Linked DNA regions of Lonchura striata. The protein of the gene in region 1 interacts with the protein of each later gene in a pairwise test. Links are inferred from orthologs where the notes say so. Each region holds a gene or a part of one and is shown on either strand. Other genes may lie near its edges. The genes, in order: PIAS4 and SATB1.

Region 1 (16,201 bases):
AGAATTGGGTGTTTTGCTTTGCCTGACTTCCACTGCATGGTTATTCAAAGCCAACAGGATTTCAGAAGGAGGAAAGTGCACTTTCCTATGAAAAAGAGGAGATGAAGGAAGGATAAAACCTCAGCAGCTCTTGAAAGACCTGGTGACAACTTGAGTCACACCAGGTGCTTCCCCTTTGGTCCCTTTTTTGCTTTAAAAATGCAAATGGAACTTACAAAAATAAAATTTAGAAGTAAGAATTAAGATATCTCTATGGAACTTTTTGTTTAGTTCTAGTTTCCTCCCAAATATCTCCTGACTAAAACAACCAGCAGAAAATAAAACATTTCATGAGGTATTTTTAGTAAGTGAAGATTGAGAAGAACAATAACAAAAAGTAACTTTAACGTTTCTGATTAAGAAACTGCCAATAAACTGAGTCCTGCTGATTGTTCAGCCACACAAAAGACACAGCAAACCTGATTAGGAAAAGTGAGACGCTGCTCGTGGTTTATTTTGCATTTCTATCAGCTCACTCTTCCTTTAGACAAAAATTAAATTGCTGCTGGAATAGAAACCCAAAATCTGGGAGGTGCAGCCTGGTCGGGTGTGAGACCTGAACATCTGCTGGTGGCCAGCTCCTCCTGGCTCCACAGAAAACTCTGCCAGCAGCAGGGAAATCAGCCAGAAGCCCTGGCTGGCCCCGGGGAGGTGTCACCTCCCAGGGCAGAGGCTGCCCTGGCTCTGAGCTGATGCAGGGGACATTTAATGGCACCTTGGAACAAAATCTGGTAATCCCAGCGAGCGTATCCAGCCCCTGCTGTCTCTGGATGCTTCCACCTCTTGGAAATTTGTTTTCCTCCAAAATTCCCATATTGGAATTGCTGACTAACACACGTTTAACACTGAACAAACCATTCCTCACACTGTTGTAACGTTTGAGCTTGACTCTGGCACCGCTCAGCTGTTTTGTCACAGCAGTTATGCCTTCAAATGAAGAAGAAACTATATAGAATGTGACTAATTAGACCTTTATCTTTTTGCTTCTGCACAATCAAATCTTTATCTATTTTTCCACTCCAAGCCACAACAAATATCTTTTCAGCAAAGGCAAACCAGCTCAAGTTGTAGAATCATTTGGCAGAGAATTCTGACATTGCCACATGAATTTATGAGACGCTCAGCAGAACTCAACTTCTCTGGACACACAGAATTTGCTACCAGAACATTCTATTTAACATCAGTGAACAACATTCCTTGTTTCTCAAAACGAAAACAAAGAAAAATCAGTCTCCACACCCAGGGAAAAAGCTCTTCTTCCAGTTTTACTAGTTACCCATCAAAACACACAGCACTACACACAAATAACTGTGATAAGCACCAAAAAAATGTCAAAAATATAGTTTGAGGGTCAAAAATACATCCTCTTTTATCCATAGAATGCTTCAGGTCAGGGATTTTTAGTGCTGAAAACCAGCAGTAGTGTAGAATATGGCCCCATAATCCACAGGAACCAAACAAGGTGGGCTTCCAAGTTACATCCCAAAGTGACCACCACGTTCCAGGTCTGAGGAAAACCACAGGAGCACAGGATTTGGAGTGGGAAGGACCTGAAGGATCATCCCATTCCATCCCACAACTTCCACTGTCCCAGGGTGCTCCAACCTGGCCTTGGGCACTTCCAGGACAGGCACAGCTTCTCCCTCCCTGTGCCAGGGCCTCCTCACCCTCACAGGGAAGAACTGCTCCAATATCCCATCTACATCTCTCCTCTTTTAGTTTGAAGCCATTCCCTCTTTCCCAGCACTCTCCTTTTCTGTAAAAAGCTGCTCTCCCTCTTTTGTCAGCCACTTTTAAGCACTGGCAAGCCCAGAGAGAAATATTCCTCTGTAAATTCTGAGCATGGCGGGAGAGAGAGGGGTGGGGAAGAGAGAGAGGGAGAGAGGGTAAAGAGAGAGAGGGAGGGAAAAGAGAGAGAGAGGGAGATGGGAAAAAAAGAGAGGGGGAAAGAGAGAAGGGGGAAGGGGGGGGAAGAGTGGGGGGAAGAGAGAGAGAGGGGAAAGATAGAAAGAGAAGAAGGGGAGAGAGAGAGAGCTGAAGGAGATGGTGGGGGAAAAAGAGAGGGAGGAAAGGGAGAGGGAGGAAAGGGAGAGGGAGAGGGAGGAGAGGGAGGAAAGGGAGAGGGAGGAAAGGGAGAGGGAGAGAGAGGAAAGGGAGAGAGAGGAAAGGGAGAGAGAGGGAGGAAAGAGAGAGAGAGGGAGGAAAGAGAGAGAGAGGGAGGAAAGAGAGAGGGAGGGAGGAAAGAGAGAGGGAGGAAAGGGAGAGGGAGAGGGAGGAGAGGGAGGAAAGGGAGAGGGAGGAAAGGGAGAGGGAGAGAGAGGAAAGGGAGAGAGAGGGAGGAAAGAGAGAGAGGGAGGAAAGGGAGAGAGAGGGAGGAAAGGGAGAGAGAGGGAGGAAAGGGAGAGAGAGAGGGAGGAAAGGGAGAGAGAGAGGGAGGAAAGGGAGAGAGAGAGGGAGGAAAGGGAGAGAGGGAGGGAGGAAAGGGAGAGAGGGAGGGAGGAAAGGGAGAGAGAGGTGAAGGAGACAGCGGGTAGAAGAAAGAGAGAGGGAGGAAAAGAAAAAGAGAGGGAGAGGGGGAAGGGGGGGGTGGGTCTCACCACCCTATCCATCAGCCTCTCCCACCCCACAACTTTAGAAATCCCCTTTACAACCACAACTTATTTCCCAACACAAACACCCCCCGCCCCACCCCACCCCACCCCGAACCTCACCTAACTCTGTGGGCTTCAGCAGCTCGTCCAGCGTGGTGTAAAAGGGCAACTTGACCAAGCGAACCTCAGGCTTGGCCACTTTGGGGGGCAACCTGCCCAGTCCGTTCAGGTATTTGCCATAGAGGGCAGGGTAGTCGATGCTGGCGGCGGGCAGGGGCCGGGGCACGGCGCCGCCGCGCTCGTAGGACGAGTGCAGGGCCAGCGCCTCGGCGCGGTGCGGCGCCGGCGGCGGCGCCACCTCCGAGCCCTTCTTGTTGTAGCGAGTCTCGTAGAGCTCCTTGATCTTCTTGAACACCTCGGGGCTGCAGTCGAACTGGACCAGCTGCAAAGCTCGGGTCACTAGCTCGTGTTTTAGTCCGCTTTTACTCCTGCCAACAAAACCCAGCAACATCTGAAGATCTGAGACTCGGAAACTCATCACCATGTTCTGGGGGATAAAAAATTAAAAGATGTTCTCATAGTTATAAAAGGCAAAGGTTTAGTTGTCACTTTATAGCTACAAGGCAAGATATTCAAAATTTTCCCCTCAAAGAAAGACCCCAAACCTGTCCAAACCCGCTGCTGTCAACCGAATTTTGGCTCTCAGTTCTTGTTTGAGCAATGCAAACGCAGAGATCACCCACTGAAATATCACCTGAAGGACAAAACCACCAGCACAGTCATCAAATGACTCAAAAATCACTCGGACAGATGCTAAACATCCTCGAGACAGCCCAGCTGGAAGCAGGAGCGACCTCAAAGCTCTAAAGCAAGAGGCCTCACTTGTGAAAGAGCTCATGAGCTCCTTCAGCAGCCTGAGGCATCCCGAATTCCCAGAGAAACACGGAAAGCTTCATCCCAAATGGTGTCAGTGCAAGGCACAGGAAGGAAAGCAAAATGAGTTAGGCGAGGCTGAGGTGAACTGGGGCCACCGATTCTGGATTTCTGGATGGGAAAACCCCTCCAGAATCCTCCCTACATGCAGAGGATCTGTAAAAACCCACATATTTTAGAGCATGCAAGGACATTCCGATTATTGAAGGGAGCAGAGTGTTCCCAGGAGAGCAATGCCAAGCACTTCCCTGCGATCCCAGCCAGGAGCTGCCTTGGTGCAGTTATCAGTTTCAGTGCCTGATAAGCAGCAAAACCCAGCTCAGCCTTCCAAAATTCCCTCTCTGGGGCAAGTCTGGCCTGTAACTGTCAGCAGAGTCAAAGGCCACAAGGCAACTTCCCATCAGAAACCAGGAATTCTCCCCATTAAACCCACAGCTCCAGGCTGGCATTTCAGCTCCCTAAACACCAAACAGCCTTGGAATTGCAAAACAACAGCTTATAAAGTACACAGCTGAGAAAATTCAAGTTGCTCTGCAAATTAACCTGGTAGATATTCACTCCGCAGCCTTCCTGGTTTGTGGGGAATATGGGAATTCAAGAAGAAACTCCACCAAAAAAATCCAGCAGATGTTCCCCAGCCTCTACCCCACTCTTGAATTAATAATTAATAAAAAAAGCATAAAAGATAATCTAACAATCTTATCATTTCCTGGAATAAACCAGCTACAGATTTTTTTTTTTTTTAATTAAGAAAGCTACAACTGTTTCCAGAAACATTTCACAGCCACTTTTGGATGTGTGGGAATTAAATGAGAGAGAAAATGCCATTTGATTTTCTCCTTTTCCCTTACATATGTCATTTAATCAGAAAACCCAAAAGCTGTTATGTCACTGTCTGTAGCTAGAACTTCTGGGAGTCGTGATGAGTCCCAAAATATCCCAGATGAAGGGAAAAAAAGACTGATGACTAAAGAGGAGAGAAAAGATGTTTAATTGCCAGAAAGTGAGAATTTCAGAGCCCTGGATTCATGGTGCTGCTCCACCAGACACCACCTGTGAAATCCTGGAGAAATCTACTTTGTGCCTCAGTTTTCTTCAACTAAAAAAAAAAAAGAATCAGGATCATTAAGGTTGGAAAAGACCTCCAAGATCATCAAGGCTGATGAAATCCCACCAGGATCATTAAAGTGTGCTAGGAAATGGAGAGAGTCTTCTTGTCCCTGAGGGATTTGAGGCTAAAAGGTGCATTTGGAAAGATAAATTCATCAAGACACAGCAGCAGGAGGTACCAGGGCATCCCAGGAGCACAGGAATTCCTCCTGGAGCACCTCACCAGGAGTCTTGGCCTGGAAAGCGGAGCCGGAGCGCAGAGTTTCCATTTTGAAGGGATGAAGGCCCGGCAGTGCGATGAGATTTGAGCAGCGACACAACAACAAACCCCAGACAAAGCAAACCCAGAGAGCTCCGAGAGCTGCCCCGCGGCAGCAGGGAGAGCACATGGATCGCCGGGATTCCCGACGCTCCCGGCCGCTGCTGCTCGCGGGAACGCCGGTGCGGGACGGCTCAGAGCCCGCAGAACCCTCTGCGGCCACCGCGATGCCGGGAGCGCCTTCCCCGCTCTGCAATTGCAGAGCCCCCCCAAAAAAAAGCCGCTCCCGGTGGGATTGCTGCGGCCAGCCAGCCCCATCCCTGCCGAGGGGCTGCTCCTGCGGGCGGGGAGCGCTTCCTCGGGAACACCGCCCGGGAACGCGGCCGGGGCTCCCCAACCGCACTGGGCACCGGCCGCTCTCCCGGTCCCGCGGTGCCGCCATCCCGAGGGCAGCGGGAGAAGCTCCCGCTGCTCTGCAGGGCACGAACCGCACAGCTGCGAGCGCACCCGCGCTTCCCCCATCCCGGAGGGGCGCGGGGCCGCCGCTGCCCCCGGCAGTGCCCGTCCCAGCGGACAGCTCCGCACCGAGCCGCTCCACCCCCGGAGCGCCACCGGCACCAGCGAGCCTTCCCCGCGGGAATTCGGGGGGAAAGCCACGGCGGGGGCAGCCCCGAGGAGCGCGGGCAGCGCCGCGGCCCGCTTCGGCCCGGTTCGGCGCCGGGAGGTCCGGCGGGGGCTGCGGCCCTGAGGCCGGGGCGGGGCAGTGTCTGAGGTAAAAAAGGCGAAGGGGAGGCCCCGGAGCGCCGCCCCCGCGGTTCGCAGCACCGCCCCCACGCCGTGTGCCCGCGCCGGGAGCCGCCCGGTGGCGGCCGGGCCCCGCGGGCGGGGCGGCGGCGCCGCTTCCCTCACCTTCGCCTCCACCAGCTCCGCCGCCATCTTGGGCCTGCAGCGTCCGCCGCGCCGGCCGCCGCCGGGTCACGTGACGGCCTCGCGCCGGGCGGGGCGGAGGGAGGGGGCGGGGCCGCGAGCGCCGCCCAATCGCCGCGCGCGCCCCCCCGGCCACGCCCCCCTCGCGAGCCACGCCCCGCCAGGCCACGCCTCCCCCGCGAGAGTCTTAAAGGGGCCGCGCACCGCAAACCGGGGCAGCACCGCGGGGTGGCGGGGGTGGGGGGGAACGGCGGCGGGACCGGGGATGGAGGCGGTGCCGCGGGCACTGCGGGACGGGGAAGGGGTGGGCAGGCGGTGGGTGCTGCCCCCAGGATGGCACCAGGTGGGTGCCCCGGGGCAGGGCAGCGCCCGGTGGGCTCGGCCCGAGGCTCCGCCGGCGGCCCCGGTGAGGAGGGAAGTGCTGGGGGGATGTAGAGGGGAAGGGATGGGGATGGGTCCCGGTTCCTTCTCTGGTCAGTGTTTGTGGCCCCTTCTGCGACAGAACCCATTGCTTATTAAAAATACCTTCCATATAACAATAATAATAGTAATAATGATAATGATAATAATAAATACATTGTGGTTTGCAGCTTTTCCCCGATAGGCAGCTCCCATCTCTGCTCTGGGAGCAGGGACACGAGCCAGGGAACAGCTGGAGCTGTGCCGGGGATTTGGGATGGAGCTCAGGGAAAGGTTCTGCCTCTGAGGGTGGTGGGCACTGCCCAGGCTCCCCAGGGAACGGGCACATTCCCAACCCTGCCGGAGCTCCAGGAGCCTTTGGAAAACACTCTGGGACAGGGTGTTGGGGTGTCTGTGCAGGGCCAGGAGTTGGACTGGATGATTTCAGGGTAACCTCAGTGTTTGAGGTGAAACGCTGCGCTGGGAAAGGTTTTCCAGCACTTTCCTCTCCTTGCCATCAACCCCACATACTAATTAATCAAAAAGGCAATTAACAATTTCTCAGGAAGAGCAGGATGCTCATCAGGTTTCCAACTTTTCCCTTCTAGGCTGGCAAAAATCAGGGTTGGTGCTAAAAATCCCCCAGATTGCTATGGAAACCCCAGAGGCCGATAATTCATCCTGTCAATCCATCCCGGGTGCAGCCCCGTGGCCATCCTGCCTGGGAATGTGCTGGGAATTTGGGAGCTGCCAGTGAGAGAAGTGGGATTGTCCAGCCTGGAGAAGAGAAGTTTTTGGGCGAGCTCATTGCAGCCTTCAGGACCTGAAGGGACCCCACAAGGAATATGGGAAGAGAGACTTTGGACAAGGGGTGGAAGGACAGGAATACAAGGAACGGCTTCCGCTGCCAGAGGGCAGGGATGGATGGGATTTTGGGATGGAATTCCTGCCTGGGAGGGTGGGCAGGGGCTGGGATGGAATTCCCAGAGCAGCCGTGGCTGGCAGTGCCCAGGGCCAGGCTGGAGCAGCCCGGGATGGTGGGAGGTGTCCCTGCCATGGCGCTGGATGTTCCTCCGCGTCCCTTCCGACCCGAGCCGTTCATTCCAACGTTTCTGTCGGCTCTGAGGCGATGCGGGCGCACAGGGACGGCTGGAGCCCGAGCTCTGCGGCCCCGTGCCACCGGACCCGGCGGGCGGCTCCGGCCGGGGCCGCTCCCGGTGCGGATCCCGGTGCCACTCCCGGTGCGGATCCTTGTCCGCTCCCGGTGCGGATCCTTGTCCGCTCCCGGTGCGGATCGCGGGGCCGCTCCCGGTGCCACTCCCGGTGCGGATCCGGGGCCGCTCCCGGTGCGGATCCCGGGGCCGCTCCCGGTGCCACTCCCGGTGCGGATCCCGGTGCCGCTCCCGGTGCGGATCCCGGTGCCGCTCCCGGTGCCGCTCCCGGTGCGGATCCTTGTCCGCTCCCGGTGCGGATCCTTGTCCGCTCCCGGTGCGGATCGCGGGGCCGCTCCCGGTGCCACTCCCGGTGCGGATCCGGGGCCGCTCCCGGTGCGGATCCCGGTGCCGCTCCCGGTGCGGATCCCGGGGCCGCTCCCGGTGCGGATCCCGGTGCCGCTCCCGGTGCGGATCCGGGGCCGCTCCCCGTGCGGATCCGGAGCCGTTCCCGGTGCGGATCCCGGGGCCGCTCCCGGTGCGGATCCCGGGGCCGCTCCCGGTGCGGATCCCGGTGCCGCTCCCGGTGCGGATCCCGGTGCGGCCGCGCTCCTCCCTGCCCGCAGGGGGCGCTGCGGCACCGGCCCGCCCGGAGCATGCGCACTGCGAGCCCCCTGCGGGAGCGGGGCGAGGCGGACCCACAGGTGTCCCGGACCCACCGGGATCCCGGACCGCTGCCTGCCACCGGGCTCGGCCCTACCGCCTTCTCCTAGCGGCTGAGCCCCCGTGCTCGCCTGCCGCTCGGTGATACCGCTCCGAGGGCGGCCTCACTGCTCCGAGCCGGTTCCTACACCGGCAGCGGGAGGGGCGGACTGTCCCCCCCCGTTGCAGCCCGGGCGGGGCGGGGCTGCCGCTGCCGGTCGCTGTTCCCCCGGTGTCGCCTCGCTGCAGTCCCGGTGCAGCCCCGGTGACCCCCACGTGGTGCCGGCGAGGCGGGACATCCTCCCGGCCATAGAGCGCGCGGGATAGAGCGGCGCGGCCGCGCACGCGCTCGGCGCCGGCCCCGCCCCTCGGCGGCGCCGCCCTATAAGAGGGCGCCGGCTGACGTCAGCGCTCTCTTCCGCCCGCTCTGCGCTCGCCAGCGAGACAGGGCCGAGCCGCCGCCATTGCCGTGACCCCCCCGCCCCGCAGCATCCGCCGCCATCCGCCACCATGGTGAGCCCCCGCCGCCCGCCGCCGCTGCCGGCGGGATTAGCGACCATCGCGCTCCCCGTATCGCCGGGGATGGCAGTTCCGCGAGCGCCGCCGGTCACACGGCGGCGGCTGCGGCCTGTGCTGCCGGCCTGGGCCGCGGCTGCGGGGAGAGGGTGGGGCGGCGGGAGGGGGCCGGTCCGGGCGGCCGTGACACCGGCGGGACCGCCGGGGCCGGTGCCGGGGCCGCCGTTGTGCCGCGGGGCTCGGGAGCGCTGATGTGGCAGCGCCGGGCTCGGGGCGCTGCGGTGCCGGCCGTGCCTTATGTAACGCTGCGGGCCGGGCTGGCACCGGCACCGGGCCGGGCTGGCACCGGGCCGGGCCGGCACCGGGCCGGGCCGGGCTCGCTTCTGGGGGCGCCCTGCGCCCGCTGGCACCGCGGCTGGAGGGCCACCGGGGCAGGGAGGGGTCGGTGCCGCAGCCCCGCTGCGCTGCCCTGGCTGCGGGTTGTGTTGTCACCCGGGCAGAGGTGGTGTCACCGCGGTCGTGGCGGGTGTTTAGGGCAGAGTCGGCTTCCTTGGAACTGCCAAAGCTGTTTTTGTACGCGCTGAGTCCCCCTCCTCCCCTACTTCAAGGTGAACTTCACAGTAGACCAGATACGGGCCATCATGGATAAAAAGGCCAACATCAGGAACATGTCGGTGATCGCCCACGTGGACCACGGCAAGTCCACGCTGACGGATTCCCTGGTGTGCAAGGCTGGGATCATCGCCTCAGCGCGGGCCGGGGAGACCCGGTTCACCGACACCCGCAAGGACGAGCAGGAACGGTGCATCACCATCAAATCCACGTGAGTGCCCTCCCCTCGGACTCCTGCTGCTGCCTGGGCTGAACTCAGGGGGGATTGGACTCCTCCAGGAGGTGCTGTTGGACTTTGGTCTAGTCCAGAAGCTCATGTCATGTTCCTGAGGGTCTTGAATGGTGGAGCAAGTGTTGACTGGCTTCTGCTCAATCATGGAGCAATTGTTTGCTGGGCATTGGGGAAGCAGGAGCTTCACCCTCCCAGTTCAGCACCAGGATTGTTGGATGTCCATGGATGCGGTGTGGAGACTCTTGGGAGCGTCTCTGGGGATGCACCTGGTGGCTGTGCTGCCACAGGGCGTGTGAGGACTCTGAGGGGCCAGAAAAGGGGTGGAGAACACGGTTGGGATTAGTAGGAAAAGCCTAAATCCACAATCTGGGAATGGAGCCCTTTATGCGTGCTGGAGAACTGTAGGGAGCTGGAGGAGGTTGGGATTCTGGAGGATGTTATGGTTTAGGAAGGACAGGTTGTAGCCTGTGCTTCTGTTATCTCACACACTGACCTCCCTGGAATACGCTCCAGGAAATCCTGGAGCCCAGCATCTAGCTTGGAAAAGATCTCCAAGGACATCAACTCCAACCGGGAGCAGAGCACTGGGTGCCACCTCCAGTGCTGGGGCAGGGATGTTTTGTGGGGCAGAACATCTCTGAGCTTTAGGGAGAAAACGATCCTGAGCACAATCATCATTTTAATAGTTTCTGCTTTCTTTCAGAGCCATTTCTCTGTTTTATGAGCTCTCTGAGAACGACTTGGCCTTCATCAAGCAGAGCAAGGATGGTTCCGGTTTCTTGATCAACCTCATTGACTCCCCTGGGCACGTGGACTTCTCCTCAGAGGTCACTGCAGCTCTGCGAGTCACTGACGGTGCCCTGGTCGTCGTAGACTGTGTCTCTGGTGAGGTTTTCTGCAGCTGGAGAGCGTTTTGGAGAACTTGGAGGTGGGGATAACTCACTGCTAACTCTGGTGTGTTTGGCAGGTGTGTGTGTGCAGACAGAGACTGTGCTGCGTCAGGCCATCGCCGAGAGGATCAAGCCTGTGCTGATGATGAACAAGATGGACCGGGCGCTGCTGGAGCTGCAGCTGGACCCAGAGGAGCTGTACCAGACCTTCCAGCGCATCGTGGAGAACGTCAACGTCATCATCTCCACCTACGGAGAGGGAGAGAGCGGCCCCATGGGCAACATCATGGTGAGGGGAGGCTCTGAGCACTGGGGTTGGATTGAGGCGCTTCGAGAGGGAGCAGATCCCTCCTGAGTGAGAATTCCCTGTCCCAGGTGGAGGACAGGGGGATCTTGAGGGTGCCTGAACTCCCAGAGCCTGGGATGGCTTGGGGCTCTTGCTGGCTCCCCTCCCAAATTTCCAGTTCAAGGCTTGAGCAAATAAAGGCTGGGATTGTTGCCCAGAGCAGCTGTGGCTGCCTGGAAGTGTCCAAGGCCAGGCTGGACGGGGCTTGGAGCAGCCTGGGATCACGAAAGGTGTCCCTGCCCATGGCAGGGTGGAATGGGATGGTCTTTAATGTTACCTTCCCACCTGCTCTGCTGCTGGGTTTCTGGGAAGGGAGCAGGGCTGTGGGTGTCGGGTTCTGAGGAGAAGCTGGAAGTGTCCATGCCTTCCTGATGCTCCTGGGAAGGATGGGAATCCTACCTGCACGTAAACCTGAGCACCCACCTGGTGGGAGTGGAGGAAAATCAACCCACTTCTGTGGTGCAAAGCTAAAATGGTGCCTGTCCCAGACCTCGGAGGTGGTCACTGGGACAGAATTCCTTCAGAATCTCAGTGTCCTGAAGGTCCACTTTGTACTGGGCTGTTTTTGGGGTGGGTTGAGCGCTGCTCCCCTGACCCAGCTCTGCTGTTCCCTCTCAGATTGACCCGGTGCTCGGGACCGTGGGCTTTGGCTCGGGCCTGCACGGCTGGGCCTTCACCCTGAAGCAGTTTGCTGAGATGTACGTGGCAAAGTTTGCTGCCAAGGGAGATGCCCAGCTCAGCCCGGCCGAGCGTGCCAAGAAAGTTGAGGACATGATGAAGAAGCTGTGGGGAGACAGGTGAGGAGGGAATGGTGGTGATTGGAATTCCAGATCAGCTCCTCATAGCTGCAGCCTGGCGCGGCAGAGGGTGGGTAAGGAGGATGGGGAGGGCGTGGTTGTGCCTAATTTACCAGGAGGTAATTACATTTGGTAAGTGCTGGAAAGCTGGATGAGGGGGAAAGCAGGAAATGGCTCTTCCTCAGCAGCCCTTGGCTCTGCCCTGAGCAGGCAGAACACGCTGTGTGTCTGTAGCTGACCTGAGCAAGGATGTTTGTCCAATTTCCTTCTCTCTGTAGATACTTTGACCCTGCTACTGGCAAGTTCAGCAAATCTGCCACCAGCCCTGATGGAAAGAAACTGCCCAGGACCTTCTGTCAGCTCATCCTTGACCCCATCTTCAAGGTGAGTTCCTCAGGGTTCCTCCTTGGCCGGCGCCTCCTGCTCTGCGCTTCTGTTCCGTGCGTGATGATGGAAAATTTCTTCACTTTGACCTGACGTGTTTGATTGAAGAAATTCAGCTGTCTGACACACCTGGCTGCTCTGGGGCACAGGGGCTGTGTCTCCTGGGGGAGCTGGGTGCTGAGGAGGAGCAGGAATTCTCTGCAGGGGCGGTGGTGCAGTTGCTCCAGACGGGGTCACGGCGGCGCTCCAAGGGCTGCTCTTGTCGCAGGTTTTCGATGCAATCATGAACTTCAAGAAAGAAGAGGCGGCTAAACTGATTGAGAAACTGGACATCAAGCTGGACAGTGAGGACAAGGACAAGGAGGGCAAACCCCTGCTGAAGGTGAGGCTGGTCTGAGTCCTCTGGGGAGCAGCTGAGCAGTGCTGCTCCAGCTGTGTCAACATCAACTTGCTTGGGAGGTGGGGAAGGACGGGGAGGTGAACCCCTGTTGTGAACACTCTGACTGGGTCCTGCTGCTCTGCCCAGGCTGTGATGAGGCGGTGGCTGCCAGCTGGAGATGCCCTGCTGCAGATGATCACCATCCACCTGCCTTCCCCCGTCACAGCCCAGAAGTATCGCTGCGAGCTGCTCTACGAGGGCCCCCCTGACGATGAGGCTGCCATAGGTAGGATGAAGGATGAGCTGCTCTGCTGCCCGGCCTCGGCTCCAGCATGCCTGTAACCAGTTTGTTCTCCACGTGCACAGCTCAGGAGTGTCTGGAATTGAGTCTGTAGCTTTTCCAGCATGGATCAAACAGTTTTAGTGGCTCACAGCTCTGTTCTGGAGCACTCAGCTGGCTGAGTAATCTCAGAGTAGCCAGAGGGTCCATCTGAACCTCTGTTAAAAACATTTGTTGGTGATAAGATCTTCCATGGAATCTCAGAATAGATTGGTTTGGAAGAGATCTTGAAGGTCAGCCCCATCTCCTGACCAGGCAGGGACATCTTCCACTGCCCCAGGCTTCTCCAAGCCCCATCCAACCTGGCCTTGGGCCCTGCCAGGGATCCAGGAGCTGCCACAGCTGCTCTGGGCACCCTGTGTGTTCTCCCAGGGAACAATCCCTTCCCAATATCCCATCCATCCCTGCCCTCTGGCAGTGGGAGCCATTCTCCGTTTTCTCTAGCCCAGACAGAAGCCCTTGGGCTGGGACAGTGGGTGCAGGTCTTGAGTTGGGGTTTTGGGGTGGGTGCCAGATACATCGATACCTCTGTGCTAAGCTGGTCTGTCCCCCTCCCAGGCATTAAGAACTGTGACCCCAAAGGCCCCCTGATGATGTACATCTCCAAAATGGTGCCAACCTCTGACAAGGGACGTTTCTACGCTTTTGGCCGTGTCTTCTCTGGTCTCGTCTCTACTGGCTTGAAAGTCAGAATCATGGGACCAAACTACACACCTGGCAAGAAGGAGGATCTGTACCTGAAGCCAATTCAAAGGTGTGTCCTGGCTGGGCTGTCGAGGGATTCTGATGCTGTCTCAGGTCTCTTCTCATGTCTGAGGCTTGTCAAGGTTCTTGGCTGTGGGCTGAGTGGGGTCTCCTCCCCTTCCCAGCCTCACTAATCCACCTTTCCCTTTAGGACCATTCTCATGATGGGCCGCTACGTGGAGCCCATCGAGGACGTGCCTTGCGGGAACATCGTGGGGCTGGTCGGCGTGGACCAGTTCCTTGTGAAGACTGGAACCATCACCACCTTCGAGCACGCCCACAACATGAGGGTCATGAAGTTCAGCGTCAGCCCCGTGGTGCGCGTGGCCGTGGAGGCCAAGAACCCGGCCGACCTGCCCAAGCTGGTGGAGGGGCTGAAGCGCCTGGCCAAGTCTGACCCCATGGTGCAGGTGAGTGGCCAGAATGGATCCAGGGGTGCTGCTTCCATCCTGGGGAAGCCTTGAGTTGAGTGTTGGTCCCTGCCTTGCACCCTGGCTTGGTGCTGCGACACCCCCAGATGAGTGGGGAGAACATCCAGAAGTAGCTGCCTCAGGATCCTCCAGTGCTGCCTCAGCTGTGCTCGCCCCACACCATGGCTCCTCGGGCATTTGGGCAGCAAAAGCATTTTGGGTCACTTAAATGTTGTTTTTTTTTTTTCAAACACAAAAAACACAGAGGGGATGAGTGGGGAGAACATGTAGAAGTAGCTGCCTTGGGATCCTCCAGCGCTACCTTGGCCATGCCCGCCCCACACCGTGGCTCCTCCTCGGGCATTTGGGCAGCAAAAGTGTTTTGGGTCACTTAAGTGGTTTTTTTTTTTTTTTTCAAACAAAAAACACAGAGGGGATGAGTGGGGGGAACATGTAGAAGTAGCTCTTTGGGTCAAGCACTAAAAACACAGAAAGTTGCTTGTGCATGTGGCTCGTTCTGAAGCTTCACCTGCTGTTCCTGGTGTTCCCAGTGCATCATTGAGGAGTCTGGGGAGCACATCATCGCTGGCGCTGGGGAGCTGCACCTGGAGATCTGCCTGAAGGACCTGGAGGAGGACCACGCCTGCATCCCCATTAAGGTAGAGAGGAGGCTGCGTGCTGGCTGAGCTCGTGGTGGGGGTTTGGCCGCTTTGGTGCCTCACGCCGCGCTCTGTCCCCGCAGAAATCCGACCCCGTGGTGTCCTACCGCGAGACGGTCAGCGAGGAGTCCAGCGTGATGTGCCTTTCCAAGTCCCCCAACAAACACAACCGGCTGTACATGAAGGCCCGGCCCTTCCCCGAGGGCCTGGCCGAGGACATCGACAAGGGCGAGGTGTCGGCCCGGCAGGAGCTGAAGCAGCGGGCGCGGTACCTGGCCGAGAAGTACGAGTGGGACGTCACCGAGGCCAGGAAGATCTGGTGCTTCGGGCCCGACGGCACCGGCCCCAACATCCTCACCGACATCACCAAGGGGGTGCAGTACCTCAACGAGATCAAGGACAGCGTGGTGGCCGGCTTCCAGTGGGCCACCAAGGAGGTGAGGGACGGCGGCTTGGGCTGGGTGGCATCCGTGGTTCCTCACATCTGTGCTTTTGTTATGCTTATCGTGGAGCAAAATGGAACATCTTAGCAGTTCAGGGAATAACGGCAGGAGGGAAAGTGGTCTGAGGGCCTCGACAGGGATTATTTTCAGGATTAGACAGGAGAGGACTGTAGGGTAAGATGACAGACTGGGAACAGCAAGAGGAGGAATTCATTTTCCTGTGTACCACCTAGTTTCAGTCTGAAGGTGATTCCAAGCCAACAACTTCTGTGACATTACCAAGACAAAAAAATCCCCATTTCCCTTGGCCAAATACTTGGGTTTCAGCACCATAAACGTGTGACAGCTGTTGAGGCTTGAACCTCAGAGCTGATCACGAGGCTGCCGCAGTGGTGGCACAGGGGTTGCGAGCTGGTGCTCCACAGAACCCTTAGGTTGGGAAAGACCTAGAGTCCAGCCTTTGTAGGTTTGGAGGCTCATCCTTCAGCAAGGAGGTCGAGTGGCTCCTGGGTGGGAGCTGCTTCCACAGAGCTCCTCCTGGGAGCCAGGCGAGCAGCACCCCATCAGGGGCCACGGAGTGACCCCGCTGTGCCCTGGCAGGGGGTGCTGTGCGAGGAGAACATGCGCGCCGTGCGTTTCGACGTGCACGACGTGACCCTGCACGCCGACGCCATCCACCGCGGCGGCGGCCAGATCATCCCCACGGCCCGGCGCTGCCTCTACGCCTGCGTGCTCACCGCCCAGCCGCGCCTCATGGAGCCCATCTACCTGGTGGAGATCCAGGTGAGTGACCTTCCCCACCCTCACACAGCCCCCAAAATATCCTAGGCTAGCTCGGAGGTAAGCAGGCTGTGAGGGGAGGAATATCAGGAGATGGCAAAGATTTCCAAAAGAGGCTCTTACCCCAAAATATGTTGGTTCAGCTCTCTTTATTCTGTGATGTCCATGTGGAGAGCGGGGCAAAAGAGCACAAAAAGGAAATGTCAGGGGTCTATACAGACTTTGGGCAGGGTGGGCTTCCCTGGCTCTCTGCCAACCCTGTCAGGGCAGGAAGGAGGGTCCAGGGTTATCTGATCAGAGTCCCAGGGAAGGGGGCACAGTGTGCCCATGAGCTCACTGTGACAGGTGAGGAGCCCCTGCCAGCCCCAGGGGAAGGGGGGACGGCGGGTGGGCGCAGTCCTGACTCCAGTCTCTCCTGCAGTGCCCGGAGCAGGTGGTGGGAGGCATCTACAGCGTGCTGAACAAGAAGCGTGGCCACGTGTTTGAGGAGGCCCAGGTGGCTGGGACCCCCATGTTCGTGGTCAAGGCCTACCTGCCTGTCAACGAGTCCTTCGGTGA
Region 2 (15,753 bases), on another chromosome or scaffold:
AGTGTCTAGCCATGTTAGCCATTAGAGCTTCTAATGGGAAACACTTACAGAGAGAATTTTCATTATAAGTAATATGCAATCCAACAGTTTCCTGTGCTGTCCTTTGTGATGCAAAATAAAAATGGACCATAAACTTTACCAAGATAACAGTTCCCAGCAGATACCAAGTATTGCTGTTATTATGAAATAAACTGTTATTAATAATTAGATACTGATTTATATAGTTTGTGGCTAATCCTATAAAGCATTATGGTGCTCCAACTCTGAATTTTTTTGTCCCATGGTTCCTTGTCAGGTATCCAGAATCATGTTTTGAAAGCATTACTTTCCTGCAGCGCAGCAGAAGAGACACCTGGGTGGCCTGGAAAACAGCCAGCACAGCATGTCTTGACCTCAACATAAGACAACTGGAGTTAACCAGGGGAAAAATGGTTTGTCCCAAATCTACAATCCTGCCTCCTTCTAAAGCAAAGGCTCTACCTGAGGGTTACCTCTAAAGACAGGGCTCTACCCAGGGCTGTCTGAGAGATGCCTCCATCCACTCAGTATCTACACCCTCATTCTTTTTATGAAAATAGGTCCCTGTGATCTTTCCTTCAAAACTTATGTTTTATTAAAACATAGCTGGAGGAGAAGCTGGCTTCCCATCTCCCTCTATATAACAACTCTGTGATTAGAGCACTAATGCAATCATGGGATTCATCTCTGCTGCCCTGAAAGGCCCCAATTTACAACTCCTCTCACCCCAGGGAGGACTCTGGCCACCAGGCTGATGGTTATTTTAGAAGAGGCAGTCTCGACCCTTTTGCTGAAACAGTGCCCTTGAGCACAAACGAATTCAAGATTCCTTAGATCATAATCTTATGTTTAGTTTATTCCCAGGGCTGGGGCACACACTGAGTTTTCTCGGGATTATTTTTGTCTTCACTATGTTAAATTGTTGTGAAATACATACAATATCCCCCTAAAAAAATTAAAAACGAAAACAAAAATAAGAGTAAAAATAAAAATAGTCCTGGGATTAAGTTCCCATTATTACCACAGTGACCCTTCTGCATTTTGTCAAGAATGCAGTCATGTTAGGGAGTTTGAGCACACTCCACGAGTAACCAGGAGGCCAAGCTGACCAAGACACTCAAGCAGAAGAATACTGCAGGTCTAGAGGACCTGGGTGGGCATGAACAGTCCTGAATGGCCACTTAGGAGTCCCAAGTGGAAAAGCAACTAACTCTAAGGCAAATCTAGTGCTTTGAGGTTTAGGCAACTTCTTAGAAAAGGTTTTGTGAATTACAGCTGTTTGTTCACATGTTTGAATTCTACCCGATTCCCACATTTCAACCATCCACATCCTTTTATTGACCAAAACACAAGTATTGACAGAGACGTCTTTGTGCTCCCAAAATATCTTTTTATTTAGGAAAAAAACATCAGCAGTTACTGAAGATCATCAACATTGAAAGCATTGAGTGGTTACCTTCACAGAATAATGCCTGCCACAGCTTATCTGACAGACTGATTATTCAAAGTCTGGTGCACCTATGGTTGGGAATCATATTGCAAGGCTTAGGTTTTCACACTTAAACTGCCCTGTCTGTCCACAGGAAGAATTATGCTAAATCCCGTTTTCACTTCACAATATTCCTGAGGTGAAAATGTAACTTTGCAGAAATAAAATGTTTATTTTGACATTGTGACTGATGTCTGCTACTCTGTGACAAGAAACATTAATAAAAGGCCTCATTAACTAGATACTGTAAACTCCAGACCAAAGACTTGTTTCTCTGAAACTTCCTTATTCTGGGCACATTCTGTTTAGGCCCTTACAGAATCTTTACATTTCTAGAAACCAAGTGTACTTTTGTCTCTAAACAGCACAGTAATGAGGTGCTTATATTATCACCTATAGCAGAAAAAGCTTTTTCACTAGGTTTAACAAGAATACAAGAAAAAAAAAGCTAAATTTATCCTATTTATTCTGGTTTTGTACACTTATTTACTAAGATCTAGTGGCACACCTTGTAATTCCTAGTTAGGTATTCAAAATTGCAACATGACTACAAGTTAAATATAATTTGTGAAATATATGCCATATTTGATAAAAAATGCATGTAGTCAGAATCATATGATTTAATTTGCATAGATGTAAAAACAGAATTTATTATACACAACCTATATTCATAAAAGTAGACAGTCACCTGGTTTCTCTTCACTGGTTTAAGCTGGCAGTGTCTCAATACAGGCAACAGAATTTTTAAAAGCAGCCAAGACAAGTGGAAGTAGAAAAGAAGAGACAACGTGCAGTAAAAGTGGTTCACACAAATATTGATATATCTCCTTCAAACCTTTAAAAGTTATACTTTTAGACTTTCAGATGGAAGGAGACAGCAGCCAGGCAAAACAGAAGTGAGTCTGACATCACTGATGCATCTGCAAAAACTTGATCTACTTTTCCAAAAAGCTAAGTTTTATGAGGATGCACTTTAGTTTTTTAGGTAATCCAAAAACCTCCTGTAACAGAGATGTGGAGCAGAAAGCAGTTACCATCTTGGAGAGTGGCCAAATGGACTGAGGTACTGTGTAGCATAAGGGCCTGGAAACATGGACCTTCACTGTATGATTGGAGAGAACTTAAACTAGTTTGAAGACAGAAAAATGAATATGCTACTATTGACATGATGACAACTTCAGTAAAGAAGTTTTCAGAATAGACATTCAAGTAGCAAGGTCACATAGGCCTGAGCTCAAGAGATTGGTGTCTGACCAACAAAGAACAGAATAACCAACCGACTGCAGAAACGCACTAAAGATATATTCAGAAAAAGACATCTGACTATCTTCCACTGAACCACTAGCAAAATGAAACATCAAAAAGGTTGTGGCACAGACAGTAATGGCCACTTGCATTTAAGATATTCACAGAAGGCTACTTCAGCATGGTTGTATCTGTTGATTACCATTTTCATCTACAACAGATAACATTTAGAACTGGTTGGAACATAGTTCAAACCAAGTCTTAACATTTCATCAAGCTGCTGAGACATCCATGTGTACTCCATGCCAATACGCAGGTTTCTTTGCTATGTTTCACAAATAATAACATATAAATAGTTTTCAAAATGTAGGCTGGAACTTTTCTATGTTAAGAAGGAAAAAATACCCAAATGTTATTTTCAGTTTCTGATGTGCTCAGCTTAAGCAAACCATGATGAAAGCAAGCAATTACAACGAATGATAGGTGGCATGTGGTGGTTTTCACTGATATAGCATTATCCACACACTACAAGCTGGAAATAAACCATACTTGATAATGTACATATTACTTGAGAACGACACAAGTATCTGAGCACTACTGAGAGTTCTGTTGCTCATGTATAATTTAGGCAGAAGATGGCCTTCTCTGTCAACGATGGGTCAACATACCTTTCAAGTAGGCACACGTTCCTACAGCGTTTCCTTCTTGGAAATGAACATTTCATTTCAAGCCCCAGGTAATATCAGATACAGAAAAAAGCTCACATATATATGTATTTGGTCACTGGATCCATGTGGATTCTTTTAACCCCACTCTAGTCCTTGCTGAACTTCACTTTCCACCCCTCTGTACTCATGTCTAAACATAAAGGTATTTACATGTCTGAAAGGAACTGGAAAGCAACTGTGATATTTCCCAGAGGATTTTAAAGCTCTTCTCACAGAAAACCAACAGATCATTATGTCACAGTGGCACTTCAATAAAAGGGACACCTCAGGAAGGGCCTCTGACATGGTTATGATTAGCAGATTCGTCACTTTCACTACCTCACTTGTAAAAGAAAGACTGGAACAGAAATATTTTCAGTCAGTATTATCCTTCCCTGGAATCAGTTATGTCTGTAGGCCTTATAAGATGTGCCATCAATAGGATGGTCTTTGGATAAATATGCACTGCTGGAAGTACCTAAAACTGATGGGTCTTTGAAATCGTGTGTGTATCTGCTGTTCCTTGGCAGGTTCTAAATCCACAAATTCATGAGTGGCTTATTGTGATTCATATGCCACTTTCATTTTTGGCAGGTAATGCTAATGGTATTGGAGAATGACTATTTGAATGAGATCTGCACCCACTTCCCTCAAATCAGGACTCTAAAAATGCTCAGAAAGGAGCTGTCAGCATAAATAAAAAAATAATTTAAAAAGAATGTATACTTATTCTGTATAGGCTTTCAGCTGCACAATTCCAGACATCAGAGATGAGCAGGATGAACAGGACTTTCTATAGTTCCTTTCTAAGCATTATAGCATCTATAGCTCCTTTCTGAGCATGTAGAAGGCTGGGCAAGGAAACATTTAGGGCGGGAATTGAGGAAGAGGAAATATCTACATGTCAGTAATAGGAAAGTTATATTGTACATCTGGCTTTTAGGCATGCTTTGATGACATGCCACAGCTAAAGAGCAGGCAGTATATGTGTTGCTTCAGTGACATGAATGACACAACTTGGTAAAACTCACTGCTTAATGACATAAATTGTAACTCTCAAACACAGTATATGGTTGTCCCATATGTATTTCGGTGTTTAGACTCATATTAGGTATTTTGATACTGAAAGCACTGAAGGAGCATTATGCTGAAAACCAGTGCACACTAGGTAAGCAAGAGCACCTTATCTATACTAATGCTGGACTTCCCATCATAGTTTGTTGTTTTGTAACAATACCATAACATTTAGCTAATATTGTTTACAGTAGCCCAATGACAAGCAATTCTATTCCCATTACTGCAAACAGTCTGGTATTAAATATTTGTTTCCAAAGTAAACTGCCTGATGTAGCTGAAAAGTATTACCACACTTTTTTTAAAAAAAGCTGAATAAACCTTACCTGTTAAAAACAAAATGTGACCTAAAAAAAAGTGTGTGTGTTTTGACTAATATACAAAGTTGATGAAAAATAAGGTTTATGCTACATTTCTATTTTAAAGAAGGATTTTCAATAGTGCACTTGAGGATCTTTAAAAGGGATCTTGGTCTAAATTCAGTTACAGTTCTGGATCTGGTCTTAAATCCATGTGTAGCCTCAGGCAAATGCGTTAATTTTCCTGTTTCAGTTTCCCTGCCTTTAAAGTGGGGATAACGTGACTAACCCAAATAGCTTAGCTGCAATTTGTAGCAATGAGTAACTTGATTATTAGATTTCTGAGACATGAAACATGATTATTATTAGGGCTTACTGACCAGCCAGTCAGAAATGTGATACAAATAAAGGAGATGGGTCTTTGACAGTAGAAGGATGTAGGTTAGTCAGTCAGTCAGTCAGAGTAGCTCTGCAAGGAGGCAACTCCAGGGAGTGGAGAGTTGGACCTATAAAAGAGAGAATGTCCCCTTTGTACTGATCTCCTGTTTATTACCCCATGGTATCAAAAGATAATAAAAAGCTAAGTCCTCTCTGAGAAATGAAGACATCCAAAGCACTACAACAAATCAGCTGCAGGCAAATAAATTTTTATCTGTGTAAGTGAGCTCGATGTTATTTTCTAGTGGAAATGTTAGAATTTATTAAAGACCTAGGATTTTTATTTAAAATGAGAAAGTAGGGGATGATATGTTTTAAATAGAGAAAAAGTCAGAGGACTGTTAACATGGAGATAAAAGGGTGAATTAATTTCTGGTGTTGTTGCAGTAATTTGGTATTCAACATATTGAGTCCAAATTCGCACCATTGCACCTAGTATAAATAGTAGTGACTTTTAATAACTGTGACAAAAATACTCTCCCCACTGGCAAGGTCAATATTATTAATTGCTATTCCTATTATTAACCTTTGGGCTTGTGTATCCTCCATGGATTAATGATTATTCAATAACTGAGCTACAAGGTTAACTTACTAATAGCAATTAATAGAATGACATACTGCTGGCTAACTAGGAAAAGCAATGACGAATCAACTTCTTGGCCTTGGTCTTGTTTGATGGAAAGGTGCCTATGGGAATTGTACCTGTCAGTTCCCACAGCTGAAAGACAAAAATCTGCCTCAAAGTTGAGACAAATAAAAAACGGAGATTGGGCTGACATCCGGGTCCCCTCTCTTGTCAGTCTCCTTGGGAATAAGAAACAGCCTCAGCTTTCAGGGAAACATGCGTTCAGTGGTCATTCTCCAGTAGCTCCACTTCCAATCCTACATCAGTGAAGAGGGGAAAGAAGGTCTTAAAAACAAAAAAAGGAGAGAAAAGTACTTCCCCTAGGAGAAGTTTCATGAATAAAGGCAATTCTCTAACAGCGTTACAGAGCACGTGGTGCCAGGTGAAACACCAGGCAGGCGTAGCACAGTGATGCGGGACTCGGCCCCGCTCCCGGCCCGACGGGGCAGCGGGACTGCCGGCAGGCAGAGGCCTCCGGGGGATGCCTGCCCGCACCCGGGCATCCCCAGCCCGCGGAGACCGCCAGCGCGCTAGCGGAGCTTCTCCATCAGCCACCTCAAATCGCGGGTAGCCGCGGAGCGCTGCCTGCCCGAAAGAGGCTGCCGCCGGGGCTCTGCGAGTAGCGGCGGGGGGCGGCCAGAGGGCGCGGGGACAGCTGTGGAAATAAAGGAGCGGGGGAAGGATGGAGAAGGGGGAAGAAGGGGGCGGGGGCGCGGTGCCGGGGAAGGCAATGCGGGGACGGTGGAGGGTTTCGACCCGAGTTCCGGGGAGAAGGGGGACGCGGCAGGCACGAGTAAACGCACACCACCATCCCCCGGCACTTGCACCAAGTCAGCCCCACCGCCCCCCGGGGCCGGGAGCCGCCGGAGGGAAGGAGCCGCCGCGCACACACACAGACACACGCCACCGCTGCGCTCCAGCCGCCGCTCGGTTCTCCCCCCCTCCCACCGCCGCCGCGCAGGCAGGAGGCAGCGGGCGCGGAACAGAGCGGGCGGCGCAGGGCTCGGAGACCCCGGCCCCAGTCGGACCGGCCCCCAGCGGCCGCGCTGCCCCGACGGCACCGCCGCCCCCTCCCCGGGGGCAGCGCGCACCTCCCCGCCTGGAGGGGCCGTACGAGGCAGCAGGCGGGGGGACCGCGGGCACACACACACACACAGCTCACACACATATACACACACACGCGCAGGCACACCCGCACAGACACGCGCAGGCAGAGGCAGGGCTGCCCCACGCCGGTACCTTGCTGCCCTGGTGTTTTCCGTCCGGGCTCCTCCTTGCTGAGGCAGCTCGGGAGCGGAGCCGAGCGGGCGGGTGCGTGTGCGTGTGTGTGTGTGCGTGCGTGCATGCGTGTGCCTCTGTGTATGTGTGTGTGTGTGTGTGTGTGCGCGCGTGTGTATGCGAGAGCGAGCGAGCGAGAGAGACTCTCCCCCCTCCCCCTCCTCCTCCTCGCTCTCCTTCCTTTAAACGCCCACTCCTGATGGGTGAAAAGACAACTTGAACTTCAGTGCAATTAACTTCGCCGGCGCCTCGGAAGCCGGAGGTGTCGCCGGCCTCGCCCGCCGCGCTCCCATGAGTGAGTTGGTCCCGCTCCTTCGGCGTCTCTCCTCGGGGACGGGGGGGACAGAGCCGTGCCGGGGGCAGCCGCCGCGGCGATTTACCCGGCTGTGCCGGCCCGGGAGGGCGGGCGGGCGGGAGGCGCGGGGCGGGTGGCCGCGCCGGGCGCTGCCGCTGCCGGAGCCTCCCGGCCGGCGCGGGCTCACACCTGCCGCCGCGCCGCTGCCGGTCGGCGGCCCCGCTCCGCTCCGCTCCCTTGCCCGCTGCCGCCTCACCCGCCGCTGGCACGGGGGGGAGCGGGGGGAAGCGGGGGTGGGGGCAGAGGGAAAAACCCCCAGAAGTTTGGCAAAGTTCTTACCCAGCTTCGCGCGCCTCCCGGCAGCGGCGGGCGCGGGGCGGCGGCGCCCCCGACGGCGCGGGGCGAAGCGGCGGGGCCGGGGGTCGCGGGCGGGGGGCGGGGGGGTCGCGGGGTGGCGCTTCCGCAGGGCGCGGGGGTTGCGCGGGCGGCCGAGCGGCCGCGGCTGCCCCAGCCGGGGGCGCGCCCGTGGCGGCGGGTGGCAAGTCCCCCCCGCCCGCCCGCGGCACGACCCGGGGCTGCCGCTGTCGCGGGGAGCAGCGCCAGCAGCTCGTCTGTGTGCTCCAGGATTTACTTTTGATTTTTCTACTCCGTCTCCGAACCCGCCACCCGAGGTTTTGCTAAATCCTCGCCCCTTTGTCGCCGTCTCCGCCGGCTGCCGGGGGGAGCGCTCCTGACAGGCACCTGCCCGACCCGGAGTTTCCCTCTGCCAGTCTCCAGCTTTTTCTGACTGCGGGAGAAACTTCGCTACAATCTAAGTTTTCTGAAACACTTTGCACCAGCTCCTAAGCTGAAATGAGTTTAAACTGAGAAAAGCTCTCCTCTGGTTTTAGTCCGTGCAAGTGAGCGCAGCGATTCTGTGAAAATAATTCACAAATTCAGATGCAGAGACGTGTGATCTGGAGGTGCCCTTTCATTCTGGTCCGTGCTGCTTGGGTGGGAGTTAGTAGCAGCCCCTTATTTCTACTTTATATTATTTTGGTACAGCGCATTCATATATTTGTCTGCTGTAGTCTGCTGGCAAACATTAGCATTCAAGCTTACATTTTTGACAAATGTGCAGACAGGAATAGCATGAATAGGCATCTTAAATATTAACAACCTAAGCATCTGTTATGAAACAAATTTAATATATTTACTCTGTTTTTCTCACATTGTTAGGAAAGGTTACAATAAGTGTAAAATTTCAGCTGTAGTTAGCACAAGGAATGCTTGGATATTTCACTATCAAGCATTTAACACAATCACCAGATAGAAATGTGTCAAATCAGGCGCACTATTCAAAAACAACTCGAAACTGTATGCGTAGAGTGTATAGACATGAATATAGCATGTTCTCTGTAATTTCTATCTTCTAATTACTTTTCAGCAGTATTTGTAGAATTTGAGAATGCTCTTTCCAGTCCCGTACTCCTATATGCTCTTTAATATGTTTATACATATACACACACTAATTTTCTAATTCACTTTCTATTTGAGATCGTTATGGATATTACCTTGCTTTTCAAGTTGAAGCAATGGTTTTGCAAGGAAATGTGAAATAACGTAGAGTAGGTAAAAAAATGAGCAGGCAGAAAATGCAACGTGTTCACATATAAGCATGCGTCAGAACAGATAGCGCACACACATAATAAGGCAATAGAAGAGAAATTAAAATCCTTGGCTAGTATGCTATGTATGCCCACTCTTCAGTACAGCTAGTGGAAAAGAAACAACTGACTCCAAGGAATTCCTCTGTCCCTGCAATAAAACTGTTCAGAGTAGAACAAGAGCACAGAAAAGCAAAGCCTCCAAAAAGGCTGTAGAGTTATTTCAGGAATCAGTGCATTCCTTCCCTTTTTCCCACAAGTTCAAATATGTAATAAATAAGTCCTTTGTATGCAAAATAGTTTACTGGAACAAAAAGATACTTAAATGAAATGCTTTTTGTGCATGAATTTTGAAAAACTGGCCATTTCCTTTTTATATTCTTTGTTCTTGATACTTTAAATAGCAAAGTAACTCTCGCAGTTTCCCCTCTCATGCTATTTTAGCGACTCGTGTGAATCCTAACCTGCTGCTGTGCTCCCGAGAAAGCAGTGTGAAGCAGAGTCGCTCTGTAACTCACTGATGGGACACGGTGCTTTGGCAGTATCAGGAGCAGAGAGAGCCTGCCATGCCAGCCCCAGCTTGTACACGAGCAGGGCACCTCTTTGGTTTGCAGCGTAGGCCCAGCGGGTGAGAGGATGAGCACCTGCCCTCTGTGGCTGTGCTTCCCAAGGCAGCATCAGCCCTGCCTGCAGCCCTGCCAGCATCCCACAGGCACCAGCCACCACGTTCAGCCCTGCTGGGGACGTGGGCACATCCACCCCTGCAGCACGAAAACCTCTTTAGAGAGGTTTCTCTAAAGAAAATGTTTCTCACACATTACAGGTTTGGGATAGAGAGGGTTTTACATGTGTGAAACTGCCATTTAGAAGATAATCAGATGAAGTCTGGTGATCTTGTTAAAAAAAAAAGACCAACAAAAAACTCACCAAATCTTTTAAACGTATCAACTACTTGGTTTTTCAAAGTACTGTTACCTTTTTAATGTCACCTATTTTTTTAGTCTAAATATTGTCAGAGGAATTTGAAGTAATTCCGTAGGTTTCCAGCTGTATTTGAAATAAAAAGAAAATTAAGAAGATTACTTTATTAATAAAATAGTTCATAATATATAGAAAAATACATTAAAGTAGATTTCTGAATTAAAACTGGAGGAAATATGACTTCTGAAATGTTTTAGTCATATTTCTAGGAACTATGGTATTTTAACATAGACTCTAGTGAAGCATTTTATTGCTTTCTTGTATATAACTGCCATTGCTCTCTCTAGATATATTTAATATATATCCAGTGAAGCCACAAACTTTCCTTCTACAACAGTTTAAACACATCTGGAACATTTTACTTTCTTATAATTTATGTTAATAGATGTAGAGTGTATATACAATCTTCTCAGACATCATTGCTTTTTCCAAAGGGGAATTTTTTTACTTTCAGTCAGGGAATATATTTATAAGAACAAAATAACTCAAAGTATAGGCAATTCCATATATCATTTTATTTTCTGTTATATTAGGTTGATTATATAAAGCTTTCATTTAGAGCAATGGGATGATGAAATTACAGCGGAATGATTGGCTTTTGTTTTTTCAAATGGTTCAAGTTGAGGGCTGCAAAAATGAATGTTTTTTGTAAAGTTCTTTGAGTGCATAATATTTTTCATAGAATTCTGACAAATTAATTTAATAGAAAAGCCACAAGTCTCTTAGCCAGGTAAAATGGAAGTTCTGTTTTTGCCGTTATAGGCATCAGGCTTCAGTAATCTGCTCCTCTTGTGGAATGAACACTTTCTACTTAAAGCTATCATGCACCTACTGTTTATTTACGCTGCATTAAACTGACAGCACGGCAATCAGAGGAAAAAATATGACTTACTTTCCTGAAGTAAACACCAGTTTATAGGTTAGTGCCTGTATTTATATTCCTGTCGCCACTAAATAATGGCTGTCTCCATTTTAATATCTACCTGTGGTGTTACCCAGGGCAGCTGGCTCTTCCTTGTTTAAAACAAGCAAAAAAGGAAGGTGGGGGTGAGGAAGAGAAGAAAGTTTTGTTATCATTCCACTCTAAGAGGAACTTAATAGAAAAGTGATTCAGTATTCCTTTCTGTGGCAAGCCGAAGCCAGTTTTAAAGACATAGTATTCAGTTTTACTTGATGTAATTGAATTGCATCTCAAACAGGGAAAACAGAATTCCTTAACAGTATTTGTCTATCCAAGACACTGTAATTGTATATTCAGGCAATGGCAGATTAAGGGCAGAAGCATTTTATTAATAACTGAAAGCACATATGTGTGTGTGATGAAAAATGTTCTGCAAATCTGTCACTATGCAATCAAGTGCATTTTTTAAACTTTAGTTGTCACAAAGTTGCTACTGAGTCTAAAAAAAAAAAGGAAAAAAGAAAGAAGTAAAACAGTTTGACGGTTAAAGAGTAACTTACAGTTCTTACTGCCTGCTATACGGAAATTTTGCAACTTTATAAAGTCAGTCTCAGAAAGCCCTGTTGATGTTACTTTTAATCTTGGAACGGTGAGTCCAAATATCTGGCATTTGAACTGAAGATAACTGCAGTCAGAATAACCCACAGTTTGCAAAAAGCTTCTCTAAATTCTCTGTTGAAGGACTCCATTAATAACTTTTACCTGAGAGGTTAATTCCTCCCTCAGATTCTCAAAAGTATTATACCTAACACTAAGTTGGCTAGTTGGTCAGTTCCATTGTCTGTGGTATCATGAACTGTCAACAGCCCTGACCACAACTTGTAACTGTTACTTCCAAGTGGATATATTATGATGTTCCCTTCAAAAATGCTGGTGGTTTTGAACATTTGCCATCCTGTGGCATCTAAGTTTACCACAGTTATCACCAGCACCTCATTACATAATAGCTAGCCATTCTATTGCTTTGCAAAAGCCAACTTTCTCATGGTTTCTGCACAGGATTGCTCTCAGTAGGTTTAAGTCTTGACAGAGATTAATTTTAAGGAGACTTGCCAGCTCTGAACTTGTACATATGTTCTGAACTGGTCCTTGTGCCCTGTATCAATTGTAACCTACTCTTAATCTGTTTTATCTGGTGCAGTGTACTAGGAATGGCATAGTAATAGTAGAGTACAGTAGTAGAGTGTAGTAACATACCTCAGGCACTGTCTGAATTCTAAATATTTCCTTTTAAACTTGCTGAGCCTGACTTTGTTCTCATGCACACTGGTGTGTCACTACACAGCTTGATCCTCTGCTGTTCCTGTAGAGGATCAGCGTTAGGCATTCGGATGGGCTCAAGGACACACTAACACTTAGTATTTGCACCAAGGTCCACCTTGCAGCTATTTATTTAGAACACCAATGCACAGCAATCTCTCTGGAGATTGATTCCCCTGTGAAACACTGTGCATTTGTGTTTGCTGGGATGGGGACTGTAAGACTTGCTTTCACCGGAGCGCAGGCTAACTGCTGTCTCTGAGCTGTGGTAAAGCATTGCTGGTGGCACCTCTGCACAGCTGTAGGCTCACAGAAGTTATCTCTCACTACCTCGTGCTTTGCTGCTGTGAACTGCAGGTTAGAGAGGCGAGAGGAGCCTGCTGGCCTGTGAATTGGCCTCTGTCACCCCAGCTGCACCTGGGTGCAAAACATCAGGATGGGCCATGTCTGTCAGCTGCGCTGGCCTTACATAACTTCCAGGGACTATCTGCTCTATCTCTTTCCCGTGGCGCATTATGACATGATGTGACCTGAGGAGACGAGGGAGGTGCTTTAAACCTCAAGTGCATCTTGTCTTCCCGGGATCCTGCTCTGACAGGATTTATTTGGCCAGCAGCAATCATTTGTGGGTCTTTACACTTGCTGCTCGCTAGACGAAGTGGTGATGCATTCAGACCACCTGTGTTTGGAGGACTGTCTCATAATCTTTTCTGGTGTCTTTACTCCTGGTTCTGGTTTCAGCCCTGAAAAAAATGTGTAATTTTTGGTTAATAACTGTCCATGCCATATTTGCCATCTTTGATGTTGTAACCCTGATTTTGAAAATGCTCAGCACATAACTTCATATGAAGGAAAAGGAAGCTACAGCACATTATCCTTTTATAAATGCGGCCTTAATATGCTCCTGGTTTATTTACCCAGCTATAAAATTAGTAGTATATGTGTTTCATAGAACAGTGAAGGAGTAAGTAATTCTTTACATTTGTAAATCAGTCCTAGAGTGGAAAACATTTCCAACAGAAGTGCCAGGAATTGCTGCTCTGAACTCAAACCCACATGCAAAGGTATGAGAAAGGTATTTCCTTTTCAGCAACTGCACTTAGAATATATGTCTGTCATAATAGCCAGGTAATTAAAAACATTTTCAATGAAAAGGAGGAAAGTTCTAAACATCATACACACCCTATATTCCTACTTCTATTACATTAAATAAAAGACAGAGAAGAGAGGAGGTGAAAGAGAGTGGGAGAGAGCATGCATGCATGCAGACTCTCAGAAGGACCAAAGGCAAAAACTGAAGTGGAGAGGAATTCCAGACTGAGTTTTAAAATGTTTATAATCAAACATTAAATTAATATTTTTGTGGAGAGGAGTATTAGAAAGATTTTAAGTAATTAGTGCTTTTCATCATAGGTGGGCTTTCTTGATAAATATAAGAAGTCTCAAGAATAATTAAAGGCATCTTAAAACTTAAAAATGACAATTTTAGCTTCTAAGGATTCATTGTAATGTAATAATACTGTATGCTTTTTAGTGTTACTTCTGCACTAGACATTTAATTACAGTCTTTGTGAGACATGTTATCTGTATAGTAACCAGTGCATAAAAAGAATGATATTTACTTTTACATACAAGCTCTTGCTTGCCAGCTTTCTTTTTAAGATTATAGATTAAGATCTCTAATCCAGAATGTTCATGACTTCAATGAAAACAATTTGACACAATTTTGGGGAGGAATGGAGCATTTATTGTAATAGTACTACTTCTCTAGTCACACTTTTTGCAATAATACTTGAACTGCTGTTTAGCAGTGGGTTTTTTTTTCTGTGCAAGGGCCCAAACCCAGCATTTCTTTGTTTGTTCAAAGGGTAGATTTTAGAATATCAAATGAAAAAGCATGTCTAATTTTTATATTGAGAAGTAGGATTAAAAAACCGTCTAAGCATAGTATGGTAGGTTTTTCACTGGTACAGTGTATTGCTGAGAGGAAATTTGGAGCTTGCTTTTGCTATGTTAGATATTGACTATTGTCTGAAACATACACTAGATAATATAAATTTATGGAGTTTGTAGCTTGGTCCACTCATTGCTATGGAAAAGTAAGTACAGTTGCAAAAAGGTGCATAAAATTAGTTTTTCTTTTGATATATTTCCAGATTCCCCTAACTGCGAAAAGTGCTTCTCGACGTAGTGAACTTCCCACAGTTCCTAGGTTCCGCACTGCCATCATTGCAGGATGAGGCACAAGGGAAACCTGTTTTAAACTGAAAGTAGAGCTTTTCACTCGATAATATGCATCATACATCTTCTTTTAGGTCTTGTTTTTCATTTCTTATCTAGCAGTCCTGTGCAGGAACAATATGATATAGGTTTTGAGGCCCTAGTTTCAGTATGCTTTGTAAGAAAATCTCAGAATAAAGTCAATCGGTCAGAATCAATCTCTGTCCCATTGACTGTATTTTATTGACTTTCTGTTTCGTTTTTCTTCACTTGAATCACTGTATACTATAATCATCTTTGCCATTCCTGATGACTTTTGCTATAGTCTTTTCAAGAAAATGCTATAGTGTGTTTGCATTTGAAACTTGTGATTCGACTACTTTATTTGGGCTGCGAGCCCTACAAGTAACCGACTTCTGCACTGCTGCTTAAAATGACATTTAGGATACTCATAGGTGTAGTTATTGTTTTCTAAGCATTCCAGAAGAATTTTATGGATACTATGCAGGAGAATTGAACCAGTAGAATTTTTTTATATGTTTGGCAGGATGACAGATATGCCGTAAGAGGCATTATACTGTCTGATAAATTGCATTACCAAGCACTATTTCATATAGGTTCTGTCTCTTTAAAAATGCAGTCTCCTCTATTTGCCCTATTAATTGTTGATATGTTGCCATCCACGAGACAAAAATTAGAGCTGTAATTAAATAATCATGTGATGCTCCTTAGTGCCAGTGAGAGCAAACTCATTTTTCCAGGCCCTGATGGTCACTGATTATTGTATTACTACTGGCTTGCTTTATTTTTTTTTAATGGCTCTATATTGCTGGGTTACCTAACCACTGCCCTTCTTTTCAAAATTAAAGGAATTGAAGAACATTAAGTCACTTAATTGGCTAGTAGTCTGTGGGGATACAAAGTAGTCATACCTTCTCTGCTTTTTGGTCACTCAATTGGTTCTACGGGGAGAACTACATCAGTGGTGTGGTTGTGTGCCATTTAATTTACACTGGTGTTTTGGCTGGGATGGATGCATATAGGGAATGCCAGGAGAATTACAAAAGGAGCAGGGTATTAAAATTCAGAAATGATTAAAATTGAAATAAAAGGATGCTGCTGCTTTGCCAGTACTCTGGCAGTCATAATGACACATAGAGATTAGTTTCCACCTTCATCTTTTCCTTCTTTCTCATTTCCTCTTGTTTATTGTTGAC

Evidence for each region.
Region 2: the proteins of PIAS4 (region 1) and SATB1 interact in a two-hybrid assay, tested with the Homo sapiens proteins (2 studies listed by BioGRID and IntAct). The link is inferred for Lonchura striata from reciprocal best matches to the Homo sapiens genes PIAS4 and SATB1.

The regions. Positions count from the first base shown.
Region 1 is NC_134630.1:6,826,077-6,842,277, forward strand, and holds the start of PIAS4 (E3 SUMO-protein ligase PIAS4), read right to left. Parts: upstream 5,931-16,201; 5' UTR 5,869-5,930; coding exon 5,842-5,868; intron 3,178-5,841; coding exon 2,751-3,177; intron 1-2,750. Other genes in the region: EEF2 (elongation factor 2), read left to right, coding at 8,622-8,624, 9,236-9,450, 10,175-10,356, 10,439-10,650, 11,326-11,504, 11,783-11,888, 12,157-12,270, 12,415-12,553 and 6 more.
Region 2 is NC_134603.1:120,685,434-120,701,186, forward strand, and holds the start of SATB1 (DNA-binding protein SATB1), read left to right. Parts: upstream 1-7,361; 5' UTR 7,362-7,468; intron 7,469-15,753. UniProt on the Homo sapiens protein: Crucial silencing factor contributing to the initiation of X inactivation mediated by Xist RNA that occurs during embryogenesis and in lymphoma.